4 linked regions of the Coturnix japonica genome follow. The protein of the gene in region 1 purifies or fractionates together with the protein of each later gene. This does not show direct contact. Links are inferred from orthologs where the notes say so. Each region holds a gene or a part of one and is shown on either strand. Other genes may lie near its edges.

Evidence for each region.
Region 2: the proteins of AGO3 (region 1) and TNRC6B purify together in Homo sapiens (affinity purification with mass spectrometry; 6 studies listed by BioGRID and IntAct, with this or other methods). This does not show direct contact. The link is inferred for Coturnix japonica from reciprocal best matches to the Homo sapiens genes AGO3 and TNRC6B.
Region 3: the proteins of AGO3 (region 1) and TNRC6C purify together in Homo sapiens (affinity purification with mass spectrometry; 3 studies listed by BioGRID and IntAct, with this or other methods). This does not show direct contact. The link is inferred for Coturnix japonica from reciprocal best matches to the Homo sapiens genes AGO3 and TNRC6C.
Region 4: the proteins of AGO3 (region 1) and TNRC6A purify together in Homo sapiens (affinity purification with mass spectrometry; 7 studies listed by BioGRID and IntAct, with this or other methods). This does not show direct contact. The link is inferred for Coturnix japonica from reciprocal best matches to the Homo sapiens genes AGO3 and TNRC6A.

The regions. Positions count from the first base shown.
Region 1 is NC_029538.1:3,700,512-3,708,025, forward strand, and holds part of AGO3 (protein argonaute-3), read right to left. Parts: intron 6,370-7,514; coding exon 6,235-6,369; intron 4,872-6,234; coding exon 4,784-4,871; intron 4,636-4,783; coding exon 4,488-4,635; intron 4,201-4,487; coding exon 4,081-4,200; intron 3,724-4,080; coding exon 3,601-3,723; intron 3,392-3,600; coding exon 3,258-3,391; intron 2,823-3,257; coding exon 2,638-2,822; intron 2,378-2,637; coding exon 2,218-2,377; intron 1,216-2,217; coding exon 1,125-1,215; intron 810-1,124; coding exon 615-809; intron 292-614; coding exon 130-291; intron 1-129.
Region 2 is NC_029516.1:45,733,113-45,740,626, forward strand, and holds part of TNRC6B (trinucleotide repeat-containing gene 6B protein), read right to left. Parts: intron 5,733-7,514; coding exon 3,399-5,732; intron 2,551-3,398; coding exon 2,392-2,550; intron 1-2,391.
Region 3 is NC_029533.1:3,486,212-3,493,725, reverse strand, and holds part of TNRC6C (trinucleotide repeat-containing gene 6C protein), read right to left. Parts: intron 3,381-7,514; coding exon 789-3,380; intron 1-788. UniProt on the Homo sapiens protein: Plays a role in RNA-mediated gene silencing by micro-RNAs (miRNAs). Required for miRNA-dependent translational repression of complementary mRNAs by argonaute family proteins.
Region 4 is NC_029529.1:6,769,449-6,776,962, forward strand, and holds part of TNRC6A (trinucleotide repeat-containing gene 6A protein), read left to right. Parts: coding exon 1-2,569; intron 2,570-3,428; coding exon 3,429-3,593; intron 3,594-3,904; coding exon 3,905-4,080; intron 4,081-4,372; coding exon 4,373-4,453; intron 4,454-4,892; coding exon 4,893-4,944; intron 4,945-6,342; coding exon 6,343-6,485; intron 6,486-6,833; coding exon 6,834-6,980; intron 6,981-7,155; coding exon 7,156-7,293; intron 7,294-7,514.

The sequences.
Region 1 (7,514 bases):
TATTTAAGGTCATTGATTTTTCAATTTGGTGCCACATCTTGTGCTAATCAATTCAACACATTCCCCAAATGCAAACAGAATCAGACTGGCAGTGAAGTTCATGCTAATATTCTATCTAGCAGTACTGACACCAAGCTTGAGCAGGACAACAGTTACCCTTTCTGTTCTGTCAGCACAGAACAACCGTGTATGATGTCGTTTCTGCACCACAATATAGGTTATTCCAGGCTGGTAATCCTTCTCCAAACTGATGCAGGCTTCTCTAATGGCTAGCAGTTCATAGTACAAAACCTACAAGCACAAGAACAGAAAAAGTTTTCCTCACATTATATTCTACACACAACACCTAATTAACAGTCTGCAGTTAACACTAAGTTCAGCTGTTCTACACTGTTATCAGCTTCAGGAAGTAATGAGAAATAGACTGTTTCCCAAGAGTAAGAGCTGTTCTTCCTAGACAACAAGGAAAGAGCAACTTCTCTTACCTAACACGCTTAACTCTCCTAAAAAGGCTCAATTCTTTTGTGGTATCTTAGCACAAATAGAAGCAGTACAGCTTATTCCAACAGGAGGGCAGGAATTCAGAGCTTCAGACAGTTCACAAATGAACCAACCTGTCGGAACTGTCCTTCAGAGACCCCATCCCTATAGAAGATGATACGCGTGGGCTTGAAGCGTGTTGACTTGTAGAACTGGATGAGAAGCTCCCTCACCATGGCAGCCAAATCTTGGATGATCTCTTGGCGGGGCCGTTGAACTCTCACGGTGGCACAGTATCGACTGGGATGAGCATCCATACTACCTACAACCTTCAGGAGAACATTGCATGACTAAAAGCAACAAGTTCAAGCCTATACAAGACGCTCTAACATCATAAAGCAGCTTTACTTTATATGACGTCTGCAAAAACATTCTATTTAACATAACTGCCTCGATTTAAAAAGCAAAATGCTATGAGAAATTATCAAGCAGTATTTTTCTTTTAAAGACAATTCTTAGCAACACTGGGAATGGATAGCAAGAATTGGCATAAGCCCTGAAAGAGATCTGACAAACACAAGTTGCATTTGCTGTTCTAACATCAACCCAAAATGAAACAACAGTGTTGATGTACTAAAACTTACAGCAGCTATGGAAGGTTTTTTTCCATCTCCAGCAGGAGGGTGAGTGACATCAGCTCCCAGAAAGATCACTGGCTGCTGGAACACAGAAGGTCTTGAAAAGGAAAAAAAAAAGTGCTAAGTCACACTTGCAGATGAACAGTTGGTGCTCAATATGGGGCTTTGTCTCTATTTCAGCTATGTTGCACAGAGAGACTTTCTTATCAGGTACTTCGGCCAGAGCTAAACAATGAGACCTTTGTGTGCAAGAAGTAAACTTCCACAACGCTAACGGTCATTGCGAAACACAGCCACTGAACTGCAGGCATGATTCTAGTGGAGAAAAGCCAAAGAGCTGCACCTTAACAATACAGGCAGTCTCTTACAGAAACCATTACTCTACCATTTGATTCCACTATATGGAATTCTTTCAGGAATCCTCAGGATAGAATTCCTACAACTTGCACTCCAGAAGTTTTTGTCTGGCTTGTGTGATGTGTCTGTCCACTCTTAAAGAACTCATAATAATAATAAAAGCTCCTAATAACTGTTAGGGACCACCAGAACTTCTTGTCTTCAGGACTGATAGACTGATTTGTGCTTCTTCAGAACAAAGCACGTAAGAAAGAGGGAGCACACATGGCTTAGATTCAAACCCCACTGAGGGCTTCTAAGCAACTGGAACACATGCACAGAGGTTCCCCATGCAAAGAATGAGCGTGAGCTGAATTGCTCAGCCTAACAGTGTGAGAGAAGTAGGGGGCTTTCAGTATATTTCTGCCCTTACTGACTGCACATTGGCACAGTAACCAAAGCTTAGACTGTTCTGTGATGCATGGCAGACTCCTAAACCTGCAGAAAACTCCTAATGGTACCAATCTTTCAGCACCTCCAGAACTGCAGCTGTTCAAGCTTTTGATATTGATCAAGCATGGAAAAACACCTGAGACTCAGCTCATAGACCAACAACTATTCAAGGCCCACACAAGAAGAGATGTAATTCCAGCTCATACCACATACTACCAGAAGGATAATTCAACACAAGCTTTGACTACAGTTAAATGTTGGGTGCTAAGTATCAAAGAAAACCCAAATACATCCCCATGCAGATTCTTACCGTTGATGAGGTACAAGGATGTTATTGATTCCTCCTAATTTAACGTTGATCTTCAGGCACAGGTTTGAAAGGGTCTGTGGAGATGTTTTAATGACGTTTTTGACTTGCACACACTGCGTGGCCATTCCCAACAGCGTGTCTCCCACACGCTTCACCTCCGCTGGGAAACAAAAATTAGGATACAAACTGAGCCCATTTGAAACTATTGCCATGTTTTGATCTTAGCTTCCATCACAACAGTTGAATACTCTGTAAAACAACTTTCTATTGAGTTGAACACTCAGACTTGCTTCTGATTTCAGCTTCAGACAGCACTGGCTTCTTATATCTAATGAATGCTCCAGAGCAGTTTTCTAACATGTCATGCATATGTTTGAATGATACTTCACCAAACAGGTAAACTCCAAGGTATTCCCTTACCGTACACTGGTGTTTTTCCTGGCAGGATGACAATGATGAGCTGAAGCCCTGAATAGGTGTTCTTGAGGTGCCGAAACATGGGCTCCACACTGTCTGCACCCTGGGCGTATTTACAGAAGCAGGGCTGGCCTTGGATCGGCATCCCTGCGTCCTTGGAGATCTTACGCAGCTGGTCTGTAAAACCCCTATAGATAAGGAGTTCACTGGATTTTTGCATTGGCAATAGCAAACAACAACCAGAGCAAAAACAGGTAGAAGAACTTTGTTACTCATACAGAGAAAAAGATTCCACATAGCTTTCAAAGTAGTGTTTTTAAAGCACCCGCATGGAGGCCACACAGATTTGAAACCACAGAGGTCAGAATGGAAAACAGCAAATCTGGGGCCTTTCAGTACTCCATTCATGATGCTAGACAAAACTAAACACAGAGCAGCAATATCGCAAGACTCAAACAGTGTTTTGATTGTAGCTTCCAGAAAGGAAGCTGCTTGGATTCTACCCTTAACACCCAAGGTGATTGTTTTGCTAGCTTTAATCATTAAGAATTCTTACATCCATGTTTTCAGTGAATGGTTTCATTACAAAAGCAGTCCAAAGCCTGAACTACGACATGCCTTACTTCAGTATTTCTTCTCTGCATTGTCTCTGCGTTGCAAAACAAGCTATAGCCCACATTTTGATCTCAACACCAGTGTGGAATTGCTTCCCTCTCATGTCCCAAACTCCGTGGCTTGGGGTTGCCACTGTTCTGTTCTGCAGGAAGAAGAAACATAGAAACATCCATGTGAGTGAAAGCAAAGAGGCTTGTGCTGTTTACTGCTTCAGGATAAGAGAAAACAAAGCCTGCCATTTAAACACTGATCCCTGTACTGCACAAGGCAACTGGAGCGCTCACAACACAGGTAGGAAATCATGCTTCAATCATCATAATAGAAGCAAAACCACAAAGGTGAAGACCTCACCCGTCCTCCATACTGCAGCATCGGTGCGGGCAGCACACGCCCTGTTACATGGGCCATCTCATCCCGGACTTTGAATTGGAACTCTTGAACAAATGGATCCGCATCATAATTTGCACTTCTCACCTAGAAGAGGTTTTTTCCACGTTACATTCAAAATTCACATAAAAAATTATAACTCCATAAAGAAAAGTCTAATAGGAACGCAGCAGAAATGTTCTACAATCCCTCTTCTCATTGAAAAAGGCTTAGATTCAGCTGCTTGTTGCTCAAATGCCACGAGATAGACTGGACGAGACTTTTTGTTCCCTTAGTTACTCAAGGTGCTCAATTGTAACGTGCTCATCATTTTGTTTGCTCACTGAATAGATCCAAAAGCATTTTCCTTAGGAAATAAGAGCACCTCAAATTAAGTCCTTTAATTACTGTTCAGAAAATCAATTGCTGAACAGCATCAAGCCAAACTGAAACTGAAGAACTCACCAATCTGCTTATTTCCTCTTGCCTATCTGGAGCAGACCTCGCTGTGGCCTTTATCATAGTTGATGTCTGATTGTCTGTTAGCTTCTTGATACACCGTTGGCCAGCCACAATGTTACATACCTTGAAGAAAAACCAGAAGCATTAATACAGAGCATTCAGAACCAGATCATTATGTATCATACTTGGGGAACTCCACAAACCTCCAAAGTATTTCAGCAATTGCACACTTACACTTAGTTCTAATCTTTCAAGCACTTAAAAAATGTAGTTTTTGGTGAAAAAAAAACAAAGCATATAAAGAACATGTAAATATGCAAACACCTGCACTGCAAAGTGCATTACCTCATGTTCTGCAAAACAATACTGCCTACCAATAATGAGCTGATTTATTAGAGTAAAATCCTTACTTCTAAAGGCAGGTAGGTGTGTTTCTGTTCCTGCCCCACTTGCAGGCAAGGCAGATGAGGATACTTCAGCTGGAGGTTGTATTTCTCTCTGAAGTACTGTGCTACTGTTCTCTCCACAGTCTGGCCATTTTCTAACTGTAAAGGAAAGCTGGAGAGACACAGGCTTTCATCAATCAAAATTATTACAAGCTTAGCTGGCAATTATTAGCACTCCCAGAACGAATACAATTAGATCCCATTAGGTATTCAGTGCTAAGCTACTGCACTTCTTACATCCTGACAAAGAAGCATCTTACGTTTGATGACTTGCAGGCCTCCTGGTTACATTACAAACACGGTATTTCCGTCTCATCGTTCCACAATGAGTCACTTCTACCTTCAGACCTGCACAGAAGTACCAAAAAGCCTGATGTTACAACCATGCAACAACTACCACAGGAGACAAAAAGTTCCATACGAAAGAGTGTGTTCCAACCCAACATTGCTCTCTGTGTACAGTCAATGCCAACACCAGCAGCTCAGCAGGTTCTCAGCAGAAAAGGTGGTTGGAAACAGCACTGCCACACAAATTACTCAACCTACAGCCCACTGGAAGAGGTTATTGAGGAAGCTGGGTGGTGTGTCCTGTCCAGGTTTGTGTGGATTGTGGCCATGCAATGAATATCCCCATCAAGACAGGTCAAGTAGAAAAGGATTGTGAGTGTGCATCTGGAACCCATTAATTGCTCTGTCATCAATCTGCTGTGACACTACAGAAAGAACCATCCTCCCACTGAGCTGCTCACGCAGGCTGCAAATTCTGTTAAGGCAGGCTCTGTTTCACTATACATGATTGTATCTTGGCTGCAGCTCCCAGATAGTACATCAATAATAGCAAATACTGACAGTGAAGGTAACCTCTTCATATTCTCTGACCGTGGTAACAAAGTGATTCAGCTGTCCAAGATTAAGAAGAAACAGCAGCTCATTCTCCAGTTATGGGCCTCCCGGAATGAATAAAGACAGATGTAAAAAGGAGGCATGTTTGGACTACTATGTGTGTCCTAAAAGGTACATTTCCCCTCTCCAGCTAATGACTATTCCATGAATATATTGCTTTGCAAATATAGCTGAGATTTATTTCCCTGCTGGCCAGTATTTCAGCAGAGTCCGAGCTTTCATCAAGTAACACAAGTGTCCCAGAGCAGAGCTCTGAACAGCTGAACTCTTTCAAGGCTCCTCTCTCTGCAAATCACACTGGAATGAAATGATACGGGAAAATGCAAAGCAAAGGAGCATATATGGAGTGAAACTACACTAAACAGTAGCTTATGCAATTCCTTTGGAATGGAATTTGGCCTTCAGCTGCAAGTTATTAAGTGGTACTTGTTTTTCCATACAGCAAACAGTTATTAGAAGTCACTGCAAATAGCATCCTTTCAAAGAATCAATTAAGTTCGCTTCAAAAAAATCAATGTTCATTTTGCCTCAGCATTTAAACAGCGGGAGACCTACAGCACAATACCACTACAACCTCAGTGACCCCTGCTTCTCAAAGGTTACAAGCCAGCAAGGCAAAGCTGCCCACTGCCAACCAGGTGATGAATGCTTCCCTCTTTAAGCCATAGGATCATCTCCCATTTGTGATGTACTGCACTTCTCCTGACAGGTGCAGGTCTCTTCTGATGCACGATAACCAGGGGAGTTTCCAGTTAAACTGAGTCCCTAGAATGACCCTAAGGGAAAGGACAGAGACATTTCTACTCACCCTTTATCTCTTTGGTGAATTTTACCCGATGAGAATCAGTCAGAGGTCTCGGTTGTTCATCAATATTATGAATGTCAAGAACTTCACACATAAACTGAATCACAGGTTGTGCTTTGTAGAAGGCAGTGGCAGAAACTAAATAGAACAAAATACCAAGAAAACCCAAGTCAGAACGCCCTGAAGCAGTAGATAAATTAAGGCTTTTCTCAGATTCCAAGTAACCCTCAAGGAAATGCTGCACAGCACTCAGTTCTTAAAACAGATTAACGAGCCTTCCAACAACCACAGTGACACATCAGTCTCCAGCATCGTCATCTTCCAGCTGCTTTGCATTTCTAGGTTTGGGAAAGGTTTTTCCCCAGATAACAGTAATTTCTAGAGAGCTGTAATGTCCTGAAGAGACTCTGTATTGAGCTACAAGCACAGCCAGCATCCATATCCCTGCTGAAGACTTTCTAATGTGTAAAGCTGAGACTATTCAGGATGCAGTACGATTTTGTCAATGATACCATACACCCAATGACCGAAACAGCATTTTAGCCACATAAATACTATTTTAAATACATACAAATATATTAGCATAGTAATTAGCTCAACCTTTGGTCTACCAGCATCTCTTACTACCCTGCACACCAGTGACCAAGTCACATTAAATGACAATAGTGTCTTTAAACAAAACAGTTGACCTGTCCCATGGAAGTAAGAACAGTCTGCTTAGAAAAGATATAAGCAAGTGACAACTTGTAGTAAGAAATGTGGCACAAACTGCAGCTCAGCACAATAAATATAATCCATACGTTTGAAACCTTAAATAGCAGCAACATGAGACAGCTGACAAGCACTTCACTGAGCTCCCAGATCTCCTGCACCAAAACCACCACGTCCCTGTGTTAAGGCAACAGAACATTCTTCAGACATGTGTCACTCCAGCAGGCTGCCAGCCCTGCATGACACACTCCAGCCAACACCTCCGGATGCTGATCAGTGAATGAACACACACAGCTCACACCCAGAGACCAGCAGCGTGCAGCTGCAGTCCCACAGCAATACAAGTGAGGAAGAAACACTTTGCAAAGAAGCTTGCACGAGCTTCAGCATCAACAAGAGCACGTGGTGGAGTTTGAACCTCAAACCACAACATGAGGTCATCAATCCATGGGCTGTAGGTTAAAGTCAAAGTTCTTGACTGCCTCATTCACTGAGAAAATGATACAAGAATAACTGCTGTGCTTTTTAATGCTGAAACCGATGGAATTCTAAGGTCACTTGTATTCTTGGAG
Region 2 (7,514 bases), on another chromosome or scaffold:
TTGAGAAGACACAAACAGCTACAGTAACAGAAGGAAGATGTTGAGGTACAACTAAAATTATGTTGCTATAAAAAACCCAAATACCTCCTGTCAAAGAACTGCTTTGCAGTGCTGATGAAATGATAATTAATTGAAATAATATTTCAATATTTTCAGAATATTTCAGGTCTTACACAAAACCCTTCTTTCCATGCAATGCCATCACAGAATATGTGATACAATGGAGCAAATCAACATTGCAGAGACTTTACGTCACAACTTCTCATCTTCATTTAGTTTTTTATATAAATCTATCATAATTGAAAAAACACATCAAACAAAAACACATTCCATAAAACAGCATCATACGGACATTCACATGACTTCAGTTAAGGTGAAACCTTCACACTGACTGCACAAACACCTACCACAGGAGTTAACAGTGCTGTGAATAAGGACTGCTATTTGCCAGCATTGTAGAAGAATGGGATATTATGCCAATGGCTGTCACCAGCACTAATGGCACAGTTTCTGTCTTGACCTTACCTATCCAAAGCTAAGAACAGAATATTCTCTAAGAAGCACAGCTGAGTGCTCTCCCAAGTGCTAACTTTTACTCTGCCTCACATTTCTGTACTCCAAGCAACTTTCCTAGGCTAAGCTCTACACTCTTTTGTTTGGTTGCCTGAGTCTCCCCTGTCCGACCTCTTCCTCATAATACATACAGGAAATCTACTTTCACAACCTTTTCTGCTCATTCAGTTCTCTTGGGGTTGGTTGATTTTTTTTAGTCACACCTCATCTCCCACTTCCTTCTTTGGCTCTGAACTGTAATTTTCTTGTCCAGCTGGTGCAAGTCTTTATTTCCTCTCTTTACTTTCAACCATAAATTACACCTTAGCAGGCGCTTTGCCCCAATTTCCTCTTCTAGCTTACCCAAGATATGAAATATCTCCCCTTAGTCCACTGAATAATGCAGTTTTCTCTTTTGCTCTGTCTAGGTGCCAATTAGAAAGGACTTGACATAGCATTCACAGTACACAGGAGAATGAAGGTCCCGGTTCTTACCTCTGGTGACATACTTTTAACAGCCAGCACAGGGAAAATTCCCTGTATTTTGCTCTTGCTGAGCTGGAAATAGTTTACACAAAGCACAACACATATGCTTTAGCTCTTTGGTTATGTCACCATGTGCAGACCAGCTAGGATAAGCAAGTGATTGTGTTCTTTAAAGACTATCTTAAATATTAAAAAGTCCACAGATTTTTAAAATGGATCATTAGCACCTCAGTGTCTCTTATTTTGGACACACTTACATGGCTTTTTACAAAGGAAGGAAGATGAGCCATCTAGAAAAAAGTCCAGCATCCTGAAAAGTGCCAAGTCTGTCTGTCAGGTACAAGGAGCACCACAGCCACCCAATAAACGTTTCAATATATGTTACTGGAATTTTCCAGTTTTGTTTCATGAATGGCCTAATTGTTTAATTCAAGTGTGGGAAAGAGAACATGGGAGAACAGCAAAGAATCCCTATGGTGCATTTCATCCCAGACAATCAGATGCTGTAAGAGTAGCTTGTAACTGGAAAGTCTTACCACCGGTATAACCACCAAGGTTCAGAAACAGTGAGTATTTTCAGTATTTCCTAATGGAAACTTAATAACCAAAAGTCACTGTCTTTGGCTATAACACTGCTATGCTGTAACAGCAGGAGATTGCTTTGTTTGTTCCACTTTCCTTACGAACAGTGAAATAAAAATTCTACCCATTTACATCAGGAATAACTTCCACACAAAGCAAACTCAATACAGCAGGATTCTAACTTCAAAGTGATTTTTTTTTTTTAAAGGTTCAACAGGATCTCATTCATGGAGAAGAGTAGCTATATGCAGGCAATAACTAGAAAGTATTCAGCCATTTAGGTTAGGCCACAAGGGGAAGGTCAATTTATGAGTTTTTCACATTCATGCAGCAAAAAAAGTGCATTCAAAGGCACTTCACACACATCTATTGTGAAATGTTTCTATAAGCTCTGAATTCCCTCTCCTGATGTGATCAGAAAAGGTGATTTACCATGTAATGAGCTTGTACCTTAAGTAATGGGTGTGCAGAGAGAAGATGATGTGAGAAAAAGAATTATTTCCTTGAGCAGATGTTCTATTGCTTCAACACTTGCACAAACTGAAACTGCCCTTTCAAGCAGTTAGGTAAAGAACATTTCCATTACCTTAAAGGTAAGTATCCAGTCATTGGTAAGCACTTAATCACTCATCAACCAAAATCTTACATTACATTCAGCATTGCTTCTAGGCCTCAGATAACAAATCCTCCATGGGTGACCTATATCAAAAAGCCAAACACTAGAAGTCTCCAGGACCACTGCAAATAAACTAGTATCTGTCCTATACTCACTAGATTTCATGGCATTCGGGGCGTTGGAAGGTGCATTCCCCCAGCCTGTTGTCGATGCTCCTGTATCATCTACTTCACCCCACCCGGGACTGGTTTCATTTGGCTCACCCCAGGCGGACGTACCATTATCTGGAGCAGGTGGAGTGCTTTTGCTCCAGACTGCACAAAGGAGAAAGAGTTTTCATTACAGACCATTTAGACAACAAACTATTTACTGCTGTGCAGCACCATGTCATTTATCTACTGCATTACTGCTGAAGACTCTGAGCTCTCAATACTGTGGGTGAAACAGAATAAAAAATTGTTCACATAACAGTTCACGGTGGGCTCTGACCTTCAGGTAGGAAAAGAAAGAACACAGTAATGAATAATATTCTTCTCTCAGGTTAAATATGAACCTAACCCTATTTTATCTTCTGGTGAACTTCTTTTAACTGAAAGCACCAGATCATTTGGGTTTTCATACACTGAAGAACAACTAAGAGCATAACAGTATACCTTATTTATTTCCAGGCCACGCAGGGTTGATTTCTTGATTATTTTTTTAATCATTATTTCAAAGAAGAAAATACCTTGCTAAATATTCTTCACCACACAGGAGAACCAAATTGAGCTAAGAAACTAAAGCACATGCTCATTCAATGTCAGCTGCTATTAACTATGTTTCGAAGGAAACTGTTTTTGACTTGAAACAAAGAGATTTTTTCCCTGTTTCTTTCGTAATTAAACACAAATTCTCTAAGAATTCAACCCTTCTCAGATAAGTTTTTTTTTGTTTTTTTTTTTTTAAACTGGCAAGCTGCCCAATGTTCAGATCAAAGTTACTAAGACACAATAAGCAGAAGACTGTTTGATTCAAATTAACGACACTTAAACTCAGGACCAAAACATTCAAGAAATGTTTTTTCATTATGAAATAATGCTATTAGTTGTAGGCTACAAGTGTATCTCTTATGCGTAAGGGTTACGATCGTATAAAGAAATCTGCTGAAGAAAGAAATGAGTACCTGATGCTTGGGATTTGCTAGTCATTGGAGTAGGCAGGCTCTGTTCCCGTGAGGCCTGTCCTCCTTGTGAGTTCTTGTCCCACAGGTTCACATTCTTGTAGTTATAACTACTAGGATCTCCCCATGCTGAAGTGCCATCATCAATATCCATTTTTCGACTGATTGACTGTGGAGAAGGTTCTTCCCAGCCACTAGGCTCCTCGTCTTTGGGGGCAGCTGGTTGTGGTCCGCTGTTCCAGTTTGGGTTTGAAGGTCGCCCATTACTTGGAGTTTGTGGAGGTGGACCCCAGGAACCAGAAGTCTCCTGCTGTTGCTGCTGTTGCTGCTGCTGCTGCTGCTGCTTGTTCCAGGAGTTGGGCTGTCGACCCGTCTCGTTCCACGTTGAATTTCTTTTACAATCATCCCAACCACCCTTTGAAGCAGAGCCTGTATTTGCACCGTTACCCCAAGTTCCAATCTCATTTTGCCCACCTTCACCCCAACCAGATGCTGGCTTATTTCCCGCACTTTCCCAGTTGCTGTTTTTTGCTTGGTCAACTTCCTCTCCCCAACCGTTCTTTCCAGAAGACCATCCTTGATTAGGCTGCCGTCCACCCCACCCCTGATCCTTACTAGAACTGTCATTCCAAGATGATGATGATTTCTCTTCTTGTCTTCCCCCTCCCCAATTAGATGAATTGGGGTTCTTATAGTCACTCCATCCTCCAGTATTTTTGGGGTCCTTCCACTCTGTTGGGGTTGAGAGCTCACCCCATCCAGACTTGATTTGATTGCTTTGGCTGGGTACATCGCCCCAGCCCCCTGAGTTCTTTGTCTGTGTGGCAGAGCTCTCCCACCCCTCAGTTCCTTTATCAGACTTCCCCTCGGGCCGTGGCATCTCTTCAATATCCCATACGGTATCTTGCTTAATTTGAGTTTGGCCCCAGCCAGTGTTTGAAAGCACTCGGGGGTCCAAATCAGTCCTGCTCAGCAAAGTCTGCAAGACTGCCTGGCAATCAGGATGTGTAGGCCTGTATGATCGGCGTCCAGAATTGTGACTGTCACTACTTCCTGCTTTGTGGTTGCTTCCAGTGCTTTGACCTCCAACCTCACTTCCTGCGGAGCTGGAAGATCTTCCCCAACAGGGAGCCTGGGAATTGCCTTGGTTTTCAGGAAGAGGGTGGCCTTTTTGATTGTCCCATGCTCCAGTGCTAGAATTTGGTTGGTTTGGACCACTCCATTCTCCAATCTTCAGTTCATCAGACCCAGACAGCTGTTTCCATTCTCCCTGAGAGACCCCAGATGTCAATTTGTTCCCTTCACCCCATTTGCTTTCATTTGCATGCTGAGGGCCAAAGTTCCAAGACCCACCACCCGTAGACCGGTTATTGTTATCCCAAGAATCGTTTCTTGACCCATTAGGTTTTTGAACAGAAGCTCCTTTCCAGGAGTCCTCCCTATCCTTTCCATTGTTCCCATGGTTTCCAGAATTGCTCTGTCCAGAGACTGTGTCAGTTCCAGAAGACCCCCTAGCTGTACCCCAAGATCCAACACTCCCAGTCTTTCTTTCTCCAGTGCTTTGTGAAGGGGTGTCAGTGCTCCTGGAAGGGTTCCCCAAGCCCATTTCAAAGGGCATTCCCTTATTCTCCATAGGGTTTGGTGAACTTAAGTTCAAGGAGTTAGTGTTTCCATTTTTTGGTCCATCAGTGTTATGAATTTGAGCCTGTTCTCTGCCAGAGACAAAGTTAACACCCGCATTTTCCATCTTTGACTGCTGTTCCCTAGAGGTCTGACCTACTGTGCTAATCTGTGCACTGGAGCTACCACTATCAGATTCCGAAGTCCCTTTCCTAGAATTGCCTTCTTGGACCAGAGCTGGCCAAGCAGACGGGTTGCTATTTGGGTTAAAGTTGCTGAAGCCAGAACCAGAACCAATTCTATCTTGTCCAGTCAAGTTTCTCCAATTACTTAGTCCATTGTTACTCTCGGCAGCAGGGTTGGAAGATTGAACAGATTTAGCCTTGGGATCAGATTTCCAGGCCCCAAGATTACATTCATTTCCAGCGCTTCCAGACTGGCACTGGCTTCCTTTTCCTTTGTTACTAGTGGTGCTTCCTGGCAGAGTGTTCTTCTCCAAGCCAGGGTTCGAGGCACTGTTGTTATCGGTGGTGTTTTCGGAAGAAGACTCAGCATCTTTGCTGGCAATACAAGGCCACTCTTCCATGTCAGACCCGTCTACAATCACCTTGTCCCAGATGTGAGTTGGGTTGGCGTTGGTGCCGCTGTTGGAGGAGGCTCCAGGACCCCAAGTGGAATTTGCATAATTTGAAGCAGCAGCACCTCCAATTGTTGAATCTAAAAAGAAGAAAAAAAGCATAAAAAAGACCCCAAAAAACCATTAATACTCAATACTGTCTACAAACACTGAACATCACATTTTTGATACCACTTACTATTGATTCTATTAATACATTAATCCTTCTCTCATATACGTGTAATGAAGTTGCTTAGGAAGAACAAGAGACTGGAAAACAATATTAAATATACAGATTAAAAATGTGTTTTAAGAAATTCCCCAGAAGCAATTTGTGGGCATGTGAATCCATGGTTAAGTCTCTCTGTGGCTTACAGTCCAGCTGATTCAAGTTCAACAGTGATTGCAACTCACTAAATGAACCTGCTTGGTCAAACTGGCACTGGTGGTGGACTTTTCAAAAACAGGTAAAATCATACAATGCACAGAGCAAGAATATGTATGTGCACACTTTTACGCATGCATGTTTGCATAGTCGAGTAGGAGACTGACAGCTACATGACAGTGTTCAAGAAGCATCTGGACAATGTTCTCAGAGATATGGTCTGATTTTTGGGTGATCCTCTGTGGAGCCAGGAGTTGGACTCAGTGATCCTTATGGATCACTTCCAACTCAGAATACTCTATGATTCTACAACTGATTCAAAAAAGAGACCAGTATTTCTGACAGGTGAAAAGGTAAAAAATGAAAAACAAAGAAGGAACATAAAGCTGAAGAAGTATATCCTTTGGCTTCAGGTACATCTTTTTTGAAGTGGATTTTGCTGGAAAAGTTTCTTTTCAAAGTAAATCAGTTTGTGGTTTTGTGAAAAACAGAATCAATCTTTCCACCACTAGCCAAAAGCTAACAAGATATCAAACATTTCCTCCTCTCTCTTACCCGATCTACTCCAAATCTGCCAAGTTCCAACAGCCCTTTAACTAAGTCAACTGTATTCACAAACTCAACAGAAAACAGTTAACTTTTTGCTAACACTGCATTGTACAGGGTGACCTCCAAGTCCAATAGCTCTTACAGTCAGTTAAAGAAAATGGCAGGATAAATGATTAAGGAATAGGACTACAATGTCAAGGTATTTGCATACAGTTTTAAAGCACACAAATTAACAGTGTCACAATGAAGTCTATATCAGTGCTAACAGCATGTTTGCACATGTACAGATAGTTCTCACTATCAATTTAAGAAGTCAAGCTCTCCCCCTTCCACGCAAAGTCACCTTCGCTCACCTAAATAATTTCATTTCAATTCTACTTATATCATGTTCTCTCTATATAGTGTCATTTGTATTACAAATATGTAGAAAAGTAAAAGAACTCAAAACTACCCACAAATTCTTTGTAACAAAGACTGAACACTCTCCCTTCTACAAACTCACACTGAACACTAATAAAGTTATAATGACTTATAAAAAAAGGTGATTTTTTAAAGTATACTGTTACATATTCAAGAGTAAAGACCAACATTTCTGATTACTATTAGCTATAATGGAAGCTTTCAAATGTGATGAACTGAAGTCTGCCTTCATCCATTAATCCTGGGCCACCAAAATCCAAAAAAATCATGCAGTTCCCATGCACATTCTGCTCCTTCTGTTATTTCAATGTCAATTACAAACTTCAGAAGAGCAAGGAAGTGCGATTCTAGAGGTATTTATTCCTGGCTATCCTTTTAATACAGTGAGTAACCTCATCCTTCCCTCTTCATTTTTTTTTTTTTTCCAATTAAAAAAATTTCTGATTGGACTGATGGACAGAGAAAGACAAGTTCAAGAAACAGCAAGGTTTTCTGAATGTAGCAAAGACTCAGCAAACAAATGTAAATG
Region 3 (7,514 bases), on another chromosome or scaffold:
CAACTGATGGCAATAGGGAGGAGGAGAACAAATCCTGCTTGGAGAAAAGCACAGTTAAGAAAGCCAATATTTAGGCATGGCCAAGACAAAACAAAAACTTGGACACAAAATCGGATGAGAAATGTTAAAGAGCACAGCAAGATTGGATTTGAGATGTCTGTGGTTGAGACACAGAGCAGGGCTTCCAGTGACATCTATTTAAATACCTCTCCTCTAAACAATCTTTTTCTCTGTACCTCCCCCACCTCCCGTTGATATTCCTTGCTGTTCATCTACAACAGCATCTTCTCTATCATTAGAAAAAAACCTCATGCTCTTCCCAGCCAAATAATGCTTAAAGCCTCGTATCTGGAACAGAACTGAAGTGGAATGGCTTTTTTCAGCCACCCTGAATATTAACATCTTTAACCAATCCAACTTTATGAGACCCTCATAAAAGCCCAGGATACAATCCATGCTTGAGACCCGAAGGATGGAAGAGAACCATTTCTTCACAAACGACAGCAAACAGAAGAAACAGCACTAGTCTGGATTCATGCAACAGCCAAGAAAACATCTGCTGCCAAGAGATAGGGTTTGTAGAGAAGAAACAGACGCTCAGTGTCTAAACAGGAATAAAGACTGAGTAATAGTAACAGCAGACAAATAACAGAAGAGAGGTTAGCAAAAAGACATCCAGCTCTGCGAGGGCAGAAGGTGCTAACTAATGGTGAAAGACCTTTATATGGACCAACATGCCAAGTACTACCGGCATTGGTACAATGGAGCTTACAAAAGTACTGTCATACCTGGACCAAGCAGCGGGGACCGGTTCGGCTGGGCACTTGACTGGTGCGATGGCTGAGGTTCAACCATGTTTGTGTTGATAATGGTGCTCGTGGTGGTGGTATTGGTTGTGGTACTGCTCTGAATGATAGGATTATTTCTATCCCACATATTTACAGTCTTGTTGTTGTTGTAATTTGGGTCGCCCCAAGCTGAGGTACCATCATCAATCTCCATCTTGCGGCGAATGGACGGTGGAGATGGCTCTTCCCAGCCAGTTGCCTCACAGTTCTCTTTTTGTTTGGCTGGCACTGGCCCACCAACCCACCCCGACCCCGTCTGTTTTACAGAAGCAGCTCCTCCCCAGTTACTCACACTGTTGTCCTGGGGTTTATTAGCCCAGTTTTGTTGGGGGCCTGGCTTTAAAGATTCCCCCCAACTTGTACCTGTATTAGCCTTGCTGTTTGTGCCGTTTCCCCATCCACTGGTCCCAGACCTCGTGGAATCATTCCATCCAGACCCCGACCTATTGTCAGAATCCCATCCAGATCCATTCTTCTTCCCATCACCCAAGTGTCCGGGAACAGATGATGAATCTGTCCAATCTCCACCTCCTGAAGTCCAGCTTGGATTTGATTTCTGTCCGTCTCCCCAGTTTTGAGATTTGGGTTTCTGAGGTTCACCCCAGGTAGGTGATTTGTCCTCCTGATTTGCGGTCCCACTCCAAGTGTGGCCGCTTTTGGCAGCAGCAGCATTATTAACAGTAGTAGAGCTTGCTGACTCTCCCCACCCCCCTGGGCCATTTGGTGCTTTGTTGTTATTGTCTCCCCAACCTGTATTTGTTGGAACAGCTGCAGGTGGAGAGCTGACCCACCCAGATACTGAAGAGGTATTTGTACTGTTCATGATGGACCCATCGTTCTTCCCCCCTGAGTTTGAAGATTGAGTAGCTGCACAACCCCAGGCCTCCGTTCCATTGTCATTCTTTCGTTCAGACCTCGGGGACTCTTCAAATTCCCAGGCAGTGTTTTGCTTTACAGGGGTCTGTCCCCACCCTGTATTGGACAGGACCCTGGGGTCAAGGTCATTTCTTGGCAACTGAACTTGCCCTTGGTCTATCATCCCTTTGTCTCTCCTCCTGCCTTCTGCAGCCCCCTCCCTCCCCGTACTGCCTTCATTCTGACTGCCACCGCTGTCATTGCTTCCTTCGCTAGCTGTGGTGCCAGATGCTGCAGCTTTGGCCCAAGAGTTTATTTGTTCGTTGCCCTGCTGCATGGCAGGATTCGGACTGGTAACACTGGAGCTATCCCACCCCGCTGATCCTTTCCCATTGATGTCGCTATTGGAATGCTGGTTTGGGGGTTTGACCCATTCACCGTTGACACCGTTACTGGTGTTACGGTTGGGGTGGCCCCAAGCTCCAGAATGCATACTACCAACACCGCTGTTGCCACCTCCCCTGCCCCACGCCAGTACCCCAGGACCAGACGGAGGCCCCGAATCCCACGCACTCGCTCCGTTGCCTTCCTTTTGCACAGCACTGCTGGATCCATTTTGTTTAGCACTTAATGCTGAGTTCACAGTGTCTCCATTCCCCTGACTGAACCCAGAATTGCTGTTTCCTGTGGCAGGATTACCTGGGGACATCCCCCAAACCGAACTGCCCATTCCTTCACCACTGCCCCCACTGACTTGAGAAACTGATGTTCCATTAGCACCAGGAAGGCCTTGCAGGTGGGGCGGGATGATGGCCCCCATACCAACAGCCATCCCCCAGTTCGGCAGTCCATTTGTCTGCATTGCATTGATAGGGTTTGGTGAAGAGTTCATGGGGTTAGTGTTATTTGGTCCATCAGTGTTAAGGTTCTGAGGTTGTACGCTGAAAGACACATTCTGAGAAGTGGACGTTTGTGGTTCTGTGCTCTCTTGCGGCAGCAAGTTTCCCCAAGCACCTAAGGTGCCTGTCGGGTTCCCATTCTGGTTGCCCATGTTCTGACCTATGGCACTGACCGGACTGCAAATACTGGAAGGGTTGCCTGCTCCCACAGTTCCCTCATGTCCAAGTACAGGCCAGGCAGCTGGATTGGCATTAGGGTTAAGGTTAAGATTAATGCCAGCATTTGAGTTGGAAGCACCCCAGCAGTTTTGACTTCTACCGTCTCCAATCATGTTGTCCATCTTGCCATCCCCACCGCTGGCAGAGCAGTGAGCTAGGCCAGAGCCAGAGCCTGCAGCCATGCCCCACACTCTGGCCGAGTTGCCGTTACCGTTGGCTCCACCAGATCCAAGGGCACTCTGGTTAGAAGTGCTTTGGACGAGTGCTCCGTTGGCGCCATTATTGCCATTAGTTTTCTTTGTATGTCCAGTGAAGTTGCCTTGGGCACTCCCTGTAGCCATGCTACTGTTCTCTGAGCCACAGTTGGAGGCAGAGTCAGTGTCTGTAGTACATTCTGAGGCAGATTCAGTCTCAGCTCCTGTGATGGAAGGCCACGCTTCCTTGTCAGTCCTGTCTATTATCACTTTATCCCAGCTGCAGTTGCCTTCACTCCTGAAAGTGGGCTGCTGTCCCCAGTGGGAATTTTCATAATGGTCTCCCAATCCACTGTGACTGAGATCTGAAAGGATCCAAAAAGGTTGAAAATGAGTGCACGGTTCAAGCACCACAAAACCACAGTTAAGTAAGTACTGCTTTACCCTGCTAGCTGTAACGCTGTGCTCTGCACTGAAGTGCAAAGCATCCTAAAATTCAAAGCATGTTTTCCAACACGATACAGCAATTTTCTTCAGTACAACAAACTACCAAACCCGATCTTTTGTGCTGTTGCTGTTTTGTTTCTTTAATCTGACAAAACTCTCAATTCAAATGGAATAATTCCATTCTAGAACAAAGGCACAAAAACGTTTTACGTGCAGTGGCAAGGCTTATTAAAACAATAATGCACTCCATAAGTAGATGTTAGCAAATACACCAACCTCCATGAGAAATCCAAAAAGCACATGTGTTAAAAAAATGAATTATTTGACTCAGTTCTCAAAGAGCACCCAGTGATAAAACATGCAACGTCCTCCTGCCGTTACACACATTGCAGCCACACCACCATCCACACGCTCCATTCACATGCTGACACCCATCTTTTGCTGTACAGCATCAATTATGCGTTCAAACAGTGCTGCTGTAACCTTTAGGTTATAGCAGAGAACACACAGGCGTTTCAGAGTAACAGTCTGTTCAAGAAAATTAGCTCTTAAAGGATTTATAAGGGATTTCAATGTGCTTTTTAGCTGCACACATCATCCAAAGTATGTCCAAAGTCCACCCTCTACCCAGTGAAAGTAATGCTATATTGCACAGATATCCAGAAGGCGGTCTTCAGGACACAGAACATATACTACACACCTACCCTCAAACAAAGACACTGATCAAGCAGTTTCTAAAGAAGCTCTTGAACCTCTAATTGCTATGGGGCAAAATTATACTGAAAGACACAACCATTTTCACACTAAGGACTCCGGTTGAGTTTTTGCTTTTACTTTCCATTCCAATCGCTCCAATAAGAGATCTTTGGTAGAGATTTCTCCTTTTTGTTTCTTTTAATGGGAATCTGAATCTTATGGTAAGTAATTCAGTCCAAACCCAGGGATACATGGTGGAGGCCACCTGCACAACCCTTAATTCAGCTGCTGATCTAAAAAGAGGAGAAAACTGCAGCTATACGTTACATGTTTCGGATGCCAATTATTGTCGTAAATCTGCACTAACATGACTTGGATTTTTACCACCAATTAGTCTACATCAAATTTGAATAAGAAGTGCAAGACTGTTCTGAGGGTAAGATGTACACAACAAACCTCCCAAATAAGCTGTTTAACAGCGGATGACTAATATACATTGATTTGAATCACAAATATTTTGGTGTGATTAGCTCCTCCAACTGCCTCCAATTAAAGGTACTCCAACACTGTGAAAAAATTCTTCCAAGAATAGAAAAAGCTCTCGTGAAGAAAATCTCATTATTCACACGTTTCACCTGTGGCTTTGCAGGCAAGAGCTGTGATTAAGTTGCCTCATGCAGGTTATGGGGATACAGAATGAACACAATAACCTCAGGTTAGACTGCATCTCATCCCAAAATCAACTGGAGAAAGGATGGGAACACAGTCTCAGCTCATTGCCTGTCTGCTCACAATGCCAGGACAAGCCTGGTGTTTCACAGAAAGACCCAAATAATGCACATTTACAGGACAAACTCACAAGAGAATAAGAAGCAGCTGGTTAGACCAACCCGGATTATCATCCCTACATGCAATGGCCAGCAAGGAGGAAAACATCACGTTATACCTGCACGAAACCGAACGCTTACAGAGCTGAAAATTTACCTGATAATCTACGAAGGTGTTAAACAGAGCCCAAATCCCAGATAAGGCAGGGAAAGTGAAAGGAAGCCTGCAAAATGACCCAAACTGGGTTGACGGGGTCAGAAATACGAGCCAAGCAGCATTTGGAGCAGAGCAGAAACAAACAAAGGAAAAAAGCTGCAGCAGCCAAGGCCAGCAGATAAGAAGTTGAGGTAACCAAGGAATCAGATAAGAGGAGTCGTGTGTGTGATTTTTTTTTTCAGCACAGTGGGTGGTGAGCTTCAGCAGTACATTCCTGACATGTCAGGAAGATTTAAAAGCAGCTTGAAATACAGTTTCAATACAAAGGTCTCACAAAAGCTGAACCTGAAGCTCCACCTGTGAGCAGAGGAGCAGAGCAGCGCTGTGCAGGGCAGGCACAGCAGCCTGCACGGGGCTCACTGTGCACACGGATGGCATGAAGAACAGGGAAACAACTTGCAAAGATTCCTCAGTAGGGAGCAAAATGGTTCATTGCATGAGACAGTGGGATTTGGAAGAACAGCCAAAGAATCAGACAAACCACAGCAGAAAGATGAAGAATTATACAGAGCAAGAGCTGACCATCCTTGAATGATCAGGTACTGTAGCTGGGCTGAGCACACTGCTCAGGCAGCATCACACAGCCCTGTGTTTGGCTCCAAGCAGCAGCTCAGAAACCTCCCACTTTCAGAGGGCTTGAAAATCAGTATTTGCTCCCTTTCCAACAGCACGGTTGCCAAGATTCAGATTACGGCCTCAACAACAACAACAAGCACTGACTAATCTGAAAGAGGCTCCCTTGATAAGGACTGTGCTAATTCCAGTGCACAACATACAGTGCTCCCACTAGCAGCAACATACCTGTGCTGCTCTGCTCCTTCCCTGCTCTGGACTCAGCAGGGATTCACACTTGCAGCTCTCACAAGGAACGTGCTCAAAAAACAAAGCGGTCAAATCTAAATCCAGCCCCTCCAGGTTGTGAGAGCTGTTACTTTGCTGCAAAACCAAAGATAAAGCCCTCCCAACACACAGCAAACCCCAAAAAGGATCTTTTGATACACAGTCTGCAGAAGCAAGCATCCAAAGGCCATTTTTCCACTTTCTCTAACCTAAAAGCACTTCATTCCTACAAAGCAAATAACCCAAAGAGCAGCAAACCTGCACTTAACCCACACGGATTTGACACCAAGAGGAGAAATAATGAAAGGAAAATATTTTTATACAGTAAAATCTTGGGGTAATTTTCTTGTTGTTTGTTCAGGGTTTCCTTTGAACACAAAAATCCCCTCTGACTCTCTAGGAAACCACGTCTCCACAAAGAATGTCATGGCTTTCTTTTATAAGCTGTTAAGACCAGGATGGGAAAACCATTTCTCTTTAGTCCTGCAAAGCTCTGAAGCAAAGCAAAGCGCTCAGCCTAACAGGAGCACAACCAGCCTTCCTGGGAGCTGCCATTCCGAGCAGAGCAATAGAAGATGAGATGCACATCTCATGTCAGCACCGCTGCTGCACCGCCATGTCCAACTGCTGTTAGCACCGACACTTTGTGCATGGAAATCTTCACTGCGTGTCTATTGGGAAATACAGCCCAATCAGGAAAGAACATCAACATAACGCTGAGATTAACAGCACTTTGAGTTCATTAAAAACCACCGCTACAATAAAATATGCAAAAAACCCCAACCAAAACTCAATACAAATTCAAACTGCAGGCATGCTGGCTAGCAGAAAATCATATGGCTTTGACCAGTGCCACCAGTAAGCAGCGGGTGACTGGGTTTTGTTTTTGTATTGTAATGGGGAGGGAGGAGATCCCTGCTATTGAGCACTGCAGTCAGCTGGATTCGCACACCGCACATCAGAAAACGTTTCTGTTTATGGCAATATAAACAAATAGCTGCAAAATCAGGTTAATGCTTACATGGGCTGCAAATGTCAAGCACGAGCAGAATGAAAGGTGAGGAGCTGCTGCATGCATCTCTCTAAAAGCAAAGTGCACGGCCTGCAGAAAGGATAAGGCTTTGATCTGAAAACACTGTTTGCAGTCGTATTCCTCATTGTTTCCTTGTTGTTTTTAGCTCTATCTTCATAACTTCCATCACAGTAATTAGGCTGAACAATACGCAGCACAATTACGCACCCTCAACTATAATTTAACATTCAGCTGATTTACAAACCGAAGTAAGAGGGAAGTGCAAAACGGCACCGCCTCGGTTAAATGTTTAATGAGAATCTTATTAATCAGTATAGATTTGATTTAAAGCCGAACGAACAAAACAAAAACAGATTCCTCTCTTCTTACTCCTGCCTAAATTTTTCAATGCATGTTAGTTGGCACAACAACCCTGGATTCACAGGGGTTACCTGCCATG
Region 4 (7,514 bases), on another chromosome or scaffold:
TCCCATTATGAAAATTCTCACTGGGGACCAGTCTCTTCAAATAGTGACTCCAGCACAAACTGGGATAAAGTTATTGTAGACGGCTCTGACAAAGAAGCATGGCCATCAATCACTGGCAGTGACCCAGAGTTGACATCAGAATGTATGGACACTGACTCTGCCTCTAGCTCTGGGTCAGAGAGAAACCTCATTATAATGGCTTCAGGGAGCACAGGTGGTGAAAGTGATGGCATTCGAAATGGCATCGGACATGGTTCTCAAAATAAGTTTGTGGTTGGTAGCAACAGCAATAATGTGGGCAATGGAAGTATTAATGGGCCATGGGGTTTATCCCATGGGACCATAATAAGCACATGTCAAGTTTCTGTGGATGCTCCTGACAGCAAATCTGAAAGTAGCAACAATAGAATGAATGCTTGGGGCACCATAAACTCTTCATCAAATGGAGGGTTAAATCCAAGCACTTTGAATTCAAATGGCAACCATGGTGCCTGGCCTGTATTGGAGAACAATGGACATGCCCTGAAAGGGTCTGTAGGGAGTGGTAATTCTGGCACAAATATTCAGTGCAGTACCATAGGTCAGATATCTAACAGTCAGAGTATTAGCTCTAAAGTGGGTGGTTCAGCCCATGGTTCCTGGGGAAGCCTTCAGGAAAATTGTGATTCTGAAGTAAATGGTACAAGGAAGGTTTCATTCAGTGGGCAACCTCAAAACCTTAACACTGAAATGAATGGACCAAATAACACTACTAACTTTATGACCTCTAGTTTACCAAACTCTGCTGGTTCAGCGCAGATTAACGAACTGCCTAATAATACAGGGCACGGGGCCTGGCGTGTGAGCACAATGAATCATTCTCAGATTCAGGCCTCTCCAGTTACAAATGGCACTTCCATTTCTCACCTTAGCAATGGTGAGGCGAAAAATGGTGGATCTTATGGTACTACATGGGGTGCCTATGGTTCTAATTACTCTGGAGACAAATGTTCAGGCCCAAACAGCCAAGCTAATGGTGACACTGTGAATGCAACTCTAATGCAGTCAGGCATTAGTGGGCCTGGCAGCACTAACTTTCAAATCAACGGGAATAAAGGAGGAGGGGTGTGGGAAGCAGGGGCAGTCAGCTCCCAGAATATGCCATGGGGAAGTGGAAATGGCGCAAGTGCTGGCGGAAGTAGAAGAGGATGGGGCAACCCTGCACAAAACACTGGCACTAATATTTCAAATGGTGAATGGAGTAAACTGCCTAGTAATCAGCATTCCAATGAAAGTGTAAATGGAAATACCAGGAAGTTTACAAATGGATGGAAATCTACTGAAGAGGATGAGCTTAACAGCCAGAGTTCTGCTGTGTCTCAGATAACTGAGCAGAATAGCGCGTGGGCCAAAACAGGTACAGGGGACGGTGAAGGTAGTACAGAGAGCACTGGATGCCATGAAGATAGAGTAGCTACAGAAGGACAGAATCGAGAGAGAAGAAAAGTTGACCAGCATGCATTACTCCAAAGCATAGTAAATAGAACTGACTTAGATCCACGTGTCCTTTCCAATTCTGGCTGGGGACAGACTCCGATCAAACAGAACACTGCCTGGGATACCGAAACATCACCAAGAGGTGAAAGAAAAACTGACAATGGGACAGAGGCCTGGGGAGGCTCTGTGACACAGACTTCTAGCTCAGGGGGATGTGTGGATAGACCTAGCCCTAATAATAATGATACCTCATCTGTATCAGGGTGGGGAGATCCAAAGTCTGCTACAAGGTGGGGAGACTCCAAAGGGTCAAATAGCCAAGGGGGGTGGGAAGAGGATTCTGCTGCTACAGTAATGGTCAAGAGCAATCAATCATGGGGAAGTGGCAAAGAAGACAAGTCATCTTGGAATGACACACAGAAGATGAAACAGGGATGGGTAGAAGGACAAAAGGCCAGCCAGGGTTGGGCTGTTTCTGCCAGCGACAGCTGGGGTGAAAATTCAAGAAGTAACCATTGGGGTGAGACAAAGAAATCCAGTTCAGGAGGTAGCGACAGTGACAGATCAGTATCTGGTTGGAACGAGCCAGGTAAATCAAATTCTGTTACTTGGGGAGGTAGTAATAATACAAACCCAAATAATTCTTCAGGATGGGATGAGCCTGCAAAGTCTAATCAGAACCAGAGCTGGGGAGACCCTCCTAAATCCAGTCAGCCTCAAGGTTGGGGGGATTCATCAAAGCCAATCAACTCTCCAGAATGGAACAAACAAGATGTTGGATCTTGGGGAGCACCGTCTGCCGCCAATAAACCGCCAGGCTCAGGCTGGCTGGGGGGACCGATTCCAGCCCCAGCGAAGGAGGAGGAACCCACTGGCTGGGAGGAGCCATCCCCTGAATCAATACGCCGCAAAATGGAAATTGATGATGGAACTTCTGCTTGGGGTGATCCAAGCAAATACAACTACAAAAATGTGAATATGTGGAATAAAAATGTCCCAAACAGTAGCAGCAGTTCAGACCAGCAAGCACAGGTACATCAGCAGCTACTGTCTTCAAGTGCCATGTCTAGCAAGGAGAGCAGTTCGGGTTCTGGTAAGACTTGACTTTACACAAGCTTGTGCTTTTGTTTAGTTGTAAAACGTTTCTCTTCTACTTGTTTCATGTAACATATTTTAGATTCAATGTGGAGAGGCGGAGGTGGCAACAGAAGTACCTTTTTATTATCAGTATTATAATTAAAGGAGAATGCAGGTAGATGCTTTGATATTTTTATACAAATTGGAAGATCTGTTCTCATTTTAAATAGTTTCAGTAACGTAGACTAGACAGCTCTGTTGAAATCCTGGGGTGTGGGAACAAAGGGTGAGTGCTAAATGCATATAAATATATAGATAGATATATCTAGGGAATAGTGTTTTTCTTCATTTGATTCTAAAAGCTACAACTTAATGTTGCCAAATAATCAAAAAAACAAAACAAAAAAAAAACAAAGAAAACACCCAAATACCAAACCGAGTTGGGCTGCTACCAGGCAGAGTGAAACATGATTATTTTATATGCACCAAAGATCAGAATTTGCAGGCTTGTAGTTTTGGGAGCAGTAAATAGTTGTGGATGTGTCTTTGCAGTACATGCAAAGTGCTTTGTGCTGTCTTTTTGCAGCTGCAAAGAGGAGTAGCTTAAACACAAGGAGCAGCCCTTAGGAACTTAGTATTTTAGAGATGTCTGTTCTCAGTGTAATTCTTTATATATGAAATTTGTATTTTTGCTTCTTTTTAATGGAACAGTTTACAGTTTTAATAATGACCTTCATGCAAAATGCAAATGTTTACTAATAAGCTCTTTACTGTATGCTATGGCTTTGAAAAGGCAAAGCACTTGATTCTTTAAAGTGGCTTTTAAAATCCTGTTTTAAAAAAAACATGTCAGTAACTCATACTGCTTTAAAAAGGTTGGGGAGAGCCTTCTACTCCAGCCACTACTGTAGATAATGGAACTTCAGCGTGGGGTAAGCCCATGGATACTGGTACTAGCTGGGGAGAACCCATCAGCGATGCAGGAGGCACCTCTGGCTGGGGAAACGCTTCTCTTGGTCAACAGGCTCCAAATAAACCCGGTGAGTGCTTTTGCACTGTCTTTGAGTAACAATACTGAAGGTGAAATGCTTATCTTTTTTGGAGGCTTTAATTTGAAATAAGCTCATTTCTGTCTGTGTTAAGGGCAGCCAATGCAAACTGATGGTTTTTTTTGTACTGGAGTAGCTACTCATTGGTGTGTGTTTTCCTTTACTACCATGCCATTACTGATCTGACACTGGGCATGATTAAAGAAACTACTTCAGGTTTTAGTAGCTGATTTGAGTGGAGATTTTTGTGGTTTTAAGTGTTGACGTGTTGGGGTTTTGTTTTGGTTTGTTTTTACAACCAGGGCCTAAATCTATGCAAGATAGTTGGTGTGGAGACGATATGCCATTGACAGGCAGTCGTCAGACCAGCTGGGAGGAAGAAGAGGATGTAGAGATTGGAATGTGGAACAGCAGTTCTTCACAAGAAGCTAACACGTCTTTGAACTGGCCACCCTATATGAAGAAAATGCCCACAAAGGTAATTGTGACTTGTGAGATGTCAAGTCCACACACAGGTGCAAGTTGGCAATGGAAAGAAAGAAAAACTTATGAGGCTCCTGAGAATTATTTCTTCTCACTGTGTAAAATGGTTTCCTCAGGAGGTTGTGTCAGGGTTTTTGCACTGTTGTCATTCCTGAAAACTAAGAACGGGTTGCTGTGCTGAATGGAGTACCATAGAGCTTTCATCTTCATAATGTTTTACGGTTTAATTTAAGCAGTGGGTGGTAAATATCTTCTGAGTATCATGGGAATTCCTTTCTGTTTTTCAGGGAATAATGAAAGGTGGAAATAAGCAAGATGAAGCATGGATCAATCCATTCATTAAGCAATTCACAAATCTCAGTTTTTCAGTAAGTATTACACCTTTCCTGTCAGCATTGCCTTTTTAGAGTGTTAGTTGTAATGCACAAAGATGAAAATACTTGATTGTCTGAAGCCCATTTTCATCGTATTTTCCTTTTTACTTCTATTTATCTCCTCTGTCGCTCATCCCTTTTTTTCTTTGTACATTCTCAGTATAAAAAGACTTACTTACGAAGAAAGGCATTGTTGTAAACACTACCAGTTATTCATCCAGTAGTCTGCTGCTCTAGTTAGTTACGTGTGGATGTTGGTAAATACACCTGTTTTCAGTGGGGATATCAAAGGGACAAAATGCTTTAAGATAGAGCCCAATTATCTTGATGTTTTTTTTCCTGCAGGTCTGAATTGTTATAATATATATGAATCTCTTTGTTTTAGCTTCTAAAAAGATTATTATTAAATAATTGATTCATTTTATTACTTCAGAGAGAATCACCAGAAGAAACCATACAGAGCAATAAGATGGACTTGTCTGGAGGTAAGAAGAAAACATAATTAGATTTTACAGCTTTCCAATCTGTTAGCTTAAATATATCAGTTTGCATAAGTATATATTGTGATTTCTTTTATTTATTTGTGTATTTGCATGTATATATAATATTTCCTTAAATAATACTCTTGTAGAGCAGGAAAAAAAAAGACTTGTGCATATAACACTGCGTACCTGATTGCTGCAGTATTGTTAATCCAGAAGTCAAACTAATCTTATACATACAGAGCTGGCATGAAAGTGTGCTTATGTGGTGTGGGGTTTTGGTTTTTTGTTTTCTTAATACAAGTATCCAGACTGCTTTGTGGACAGCTTCCCTAAATAGGCACAGATGTTCTGAATACCACACTTGCTTCTTGTGGTTAATTCTTAGAAACACATTTTCAGTTCGAAGAAGTAAATTAATACCGAACAGTTACTTCAGATACATTTATACTTGAATGCAAAAATCACTTTTGAGCAGCCTTTGAGCTCATTTGCCATTGTGATTCCTCTAGCAAATGAAAAATAGGATAATTAAATTTAATCAATGGCCAGCAGTATATGATAGTAGGACATGTGATGAAAAATAATTGTGGCACTGTGTTTATTGTAGCTGCACTTCTTAATTTTAGTTGCAAATTGCTTTTTTCACTTTTGGCTCATGATCTGTATTGCATGAGTTCTTTGCATTTCAGATATTAAAAAAAATAATAGAAAGCCTCATGCTTAAATGATCTCAGTTCTTGAATTTGAATTCGAAATATCTGCTTGGAAACAATTCTCTTGCAGTGCATGCAGTGGAGTATTAATGGAGTATTATGCAATGAAGTACGCTGCTTTACTACTGCTTGTATTTTGATCTCCAAGCTTGCTTAGTAGCATTAACAATGAAAGTGAGATGTTACAATGAGCTTTCAGTAAATACCAGTATTTAAAATGTTCCCATCTGTTTGGTTGTCATTCCCTCCACAATAACTGAATCAAATTAAAGACCCTCTGAAATCTTATGCAGATGAAGGGCATGTAATAAAGATACTGCTTCAGATCCAAGACAGCACTTGTTGTGACTCTTCAAAGAAAAAACAAAAAGCTGACATTAATGTCTGTCTTAAACAATTATACTTGCCTTGTTTTTGCAGGCTGAGAATATTTTTGGGGAAGTGTGCAAACTGTTGATGCTTTTCTGATTCCCAATTTGAAGCTGTCTGTAGCCACTATTCATAGTGTTTCCTTTCCTTTGAAGCGAAACCCAGGAAGTTTAAAATGGAACTGATGTTTTCTTTTTCTAGTGCCAAGCCTGAAAGCTGTATTCTGTATTTCATGAGCATAAATCCATTCTGACTGTATCTGGAAAACGATGTGATCCTTCAATGTCGTAGTCACATCTCTCTCACTTTCTCTTAGGGTTATTGCAAGATAAGAGAATGGAGATTGATAAGCATGGCCTCGGTGTTGGAGATTACAATCGTGTGGTTGGAAAAGGCCCTGGTTCTCGTCCTCAGATTTCCAAAGAGTCTTCCATGGATCGCAGTCCTTATTTTGATAAGGTTAGTAGCTGTCTTATTGGTGGACATTCAGAACTTCTTTGATTCAGCATTCTAAGTAATTGTCTGTGCACTCCTTAGCTTTCTGCATTTGGTGGAGAAGAAACTTAGTGCTTTCTTGTTAATCCATAAGATATGTTTTGTTCTTTTTAACTTACTGATATATAATACTAAGCACTTTCTGTAGCCCATTTGCAGTGCAAATAACTAACCTGATCTCTTTTGTTTTCTGCCTATTTCCTGCTGATGCTGGACTCTCATGTGACTCTTCCCTTCTGTTCCTGGCAATGGTTTCTCCCTACTGCTTGCTTGCTGGCTGGTTGTTGCGCATCGGTTTGTCCGTCCAATCAGGATGGCATTGTAGCAGACGAGTCCCAAAACATGCAGTTTATGTCCAATCAAAACATGAAGCTTCCCCCTTCAAATAGTGCACTACCTAACCAAGCCCTTGGCTCCCTGGCAGGGCTGGGTATGCAAAACTTGAATTCTGTTAGACAGGTAAGGCTGTGTGCATATACTTGGCATGTTACTTGACAGTATTTAATACCTTTTAATTTAACATCCTAGCTACTAATGTGATTAATATGTTTTCTGGTTATAATGTAAATGTGTAGGGGTGGGAGAAGTAGCAGAAGAGGTTTATTGTCACTAACCATCCATCTTTTTTCCCCAGAATGGCAATCCCAGTGTGTTTGGTGTTGGTAATATAGCAGCACAGCCCAGGAGCATGCAGCAGCCTCCAGCACAACCTCTTAATTCATCTCAGCCTAATCCACGTGCTCAAGTGCCTCCTCCATTACTATCCCCTCAGGTAACTAAGTACTTGGAACATTCTACGTATAAGCTAACAAAATGCTGCTTCAGAAGAATTTTCTATTTACTGGTGTGGCTGATGTCTATTCTGTAAATGTTTGGAAACTTACTCGTCCTGATTGGTGTATCAGAAAATGGGCAACTGTTAACCTGAGATTGTAATATCCCATGGTTAGTATAACTACTTGTGCATACTTCATACATCAGTGTCACTGATTG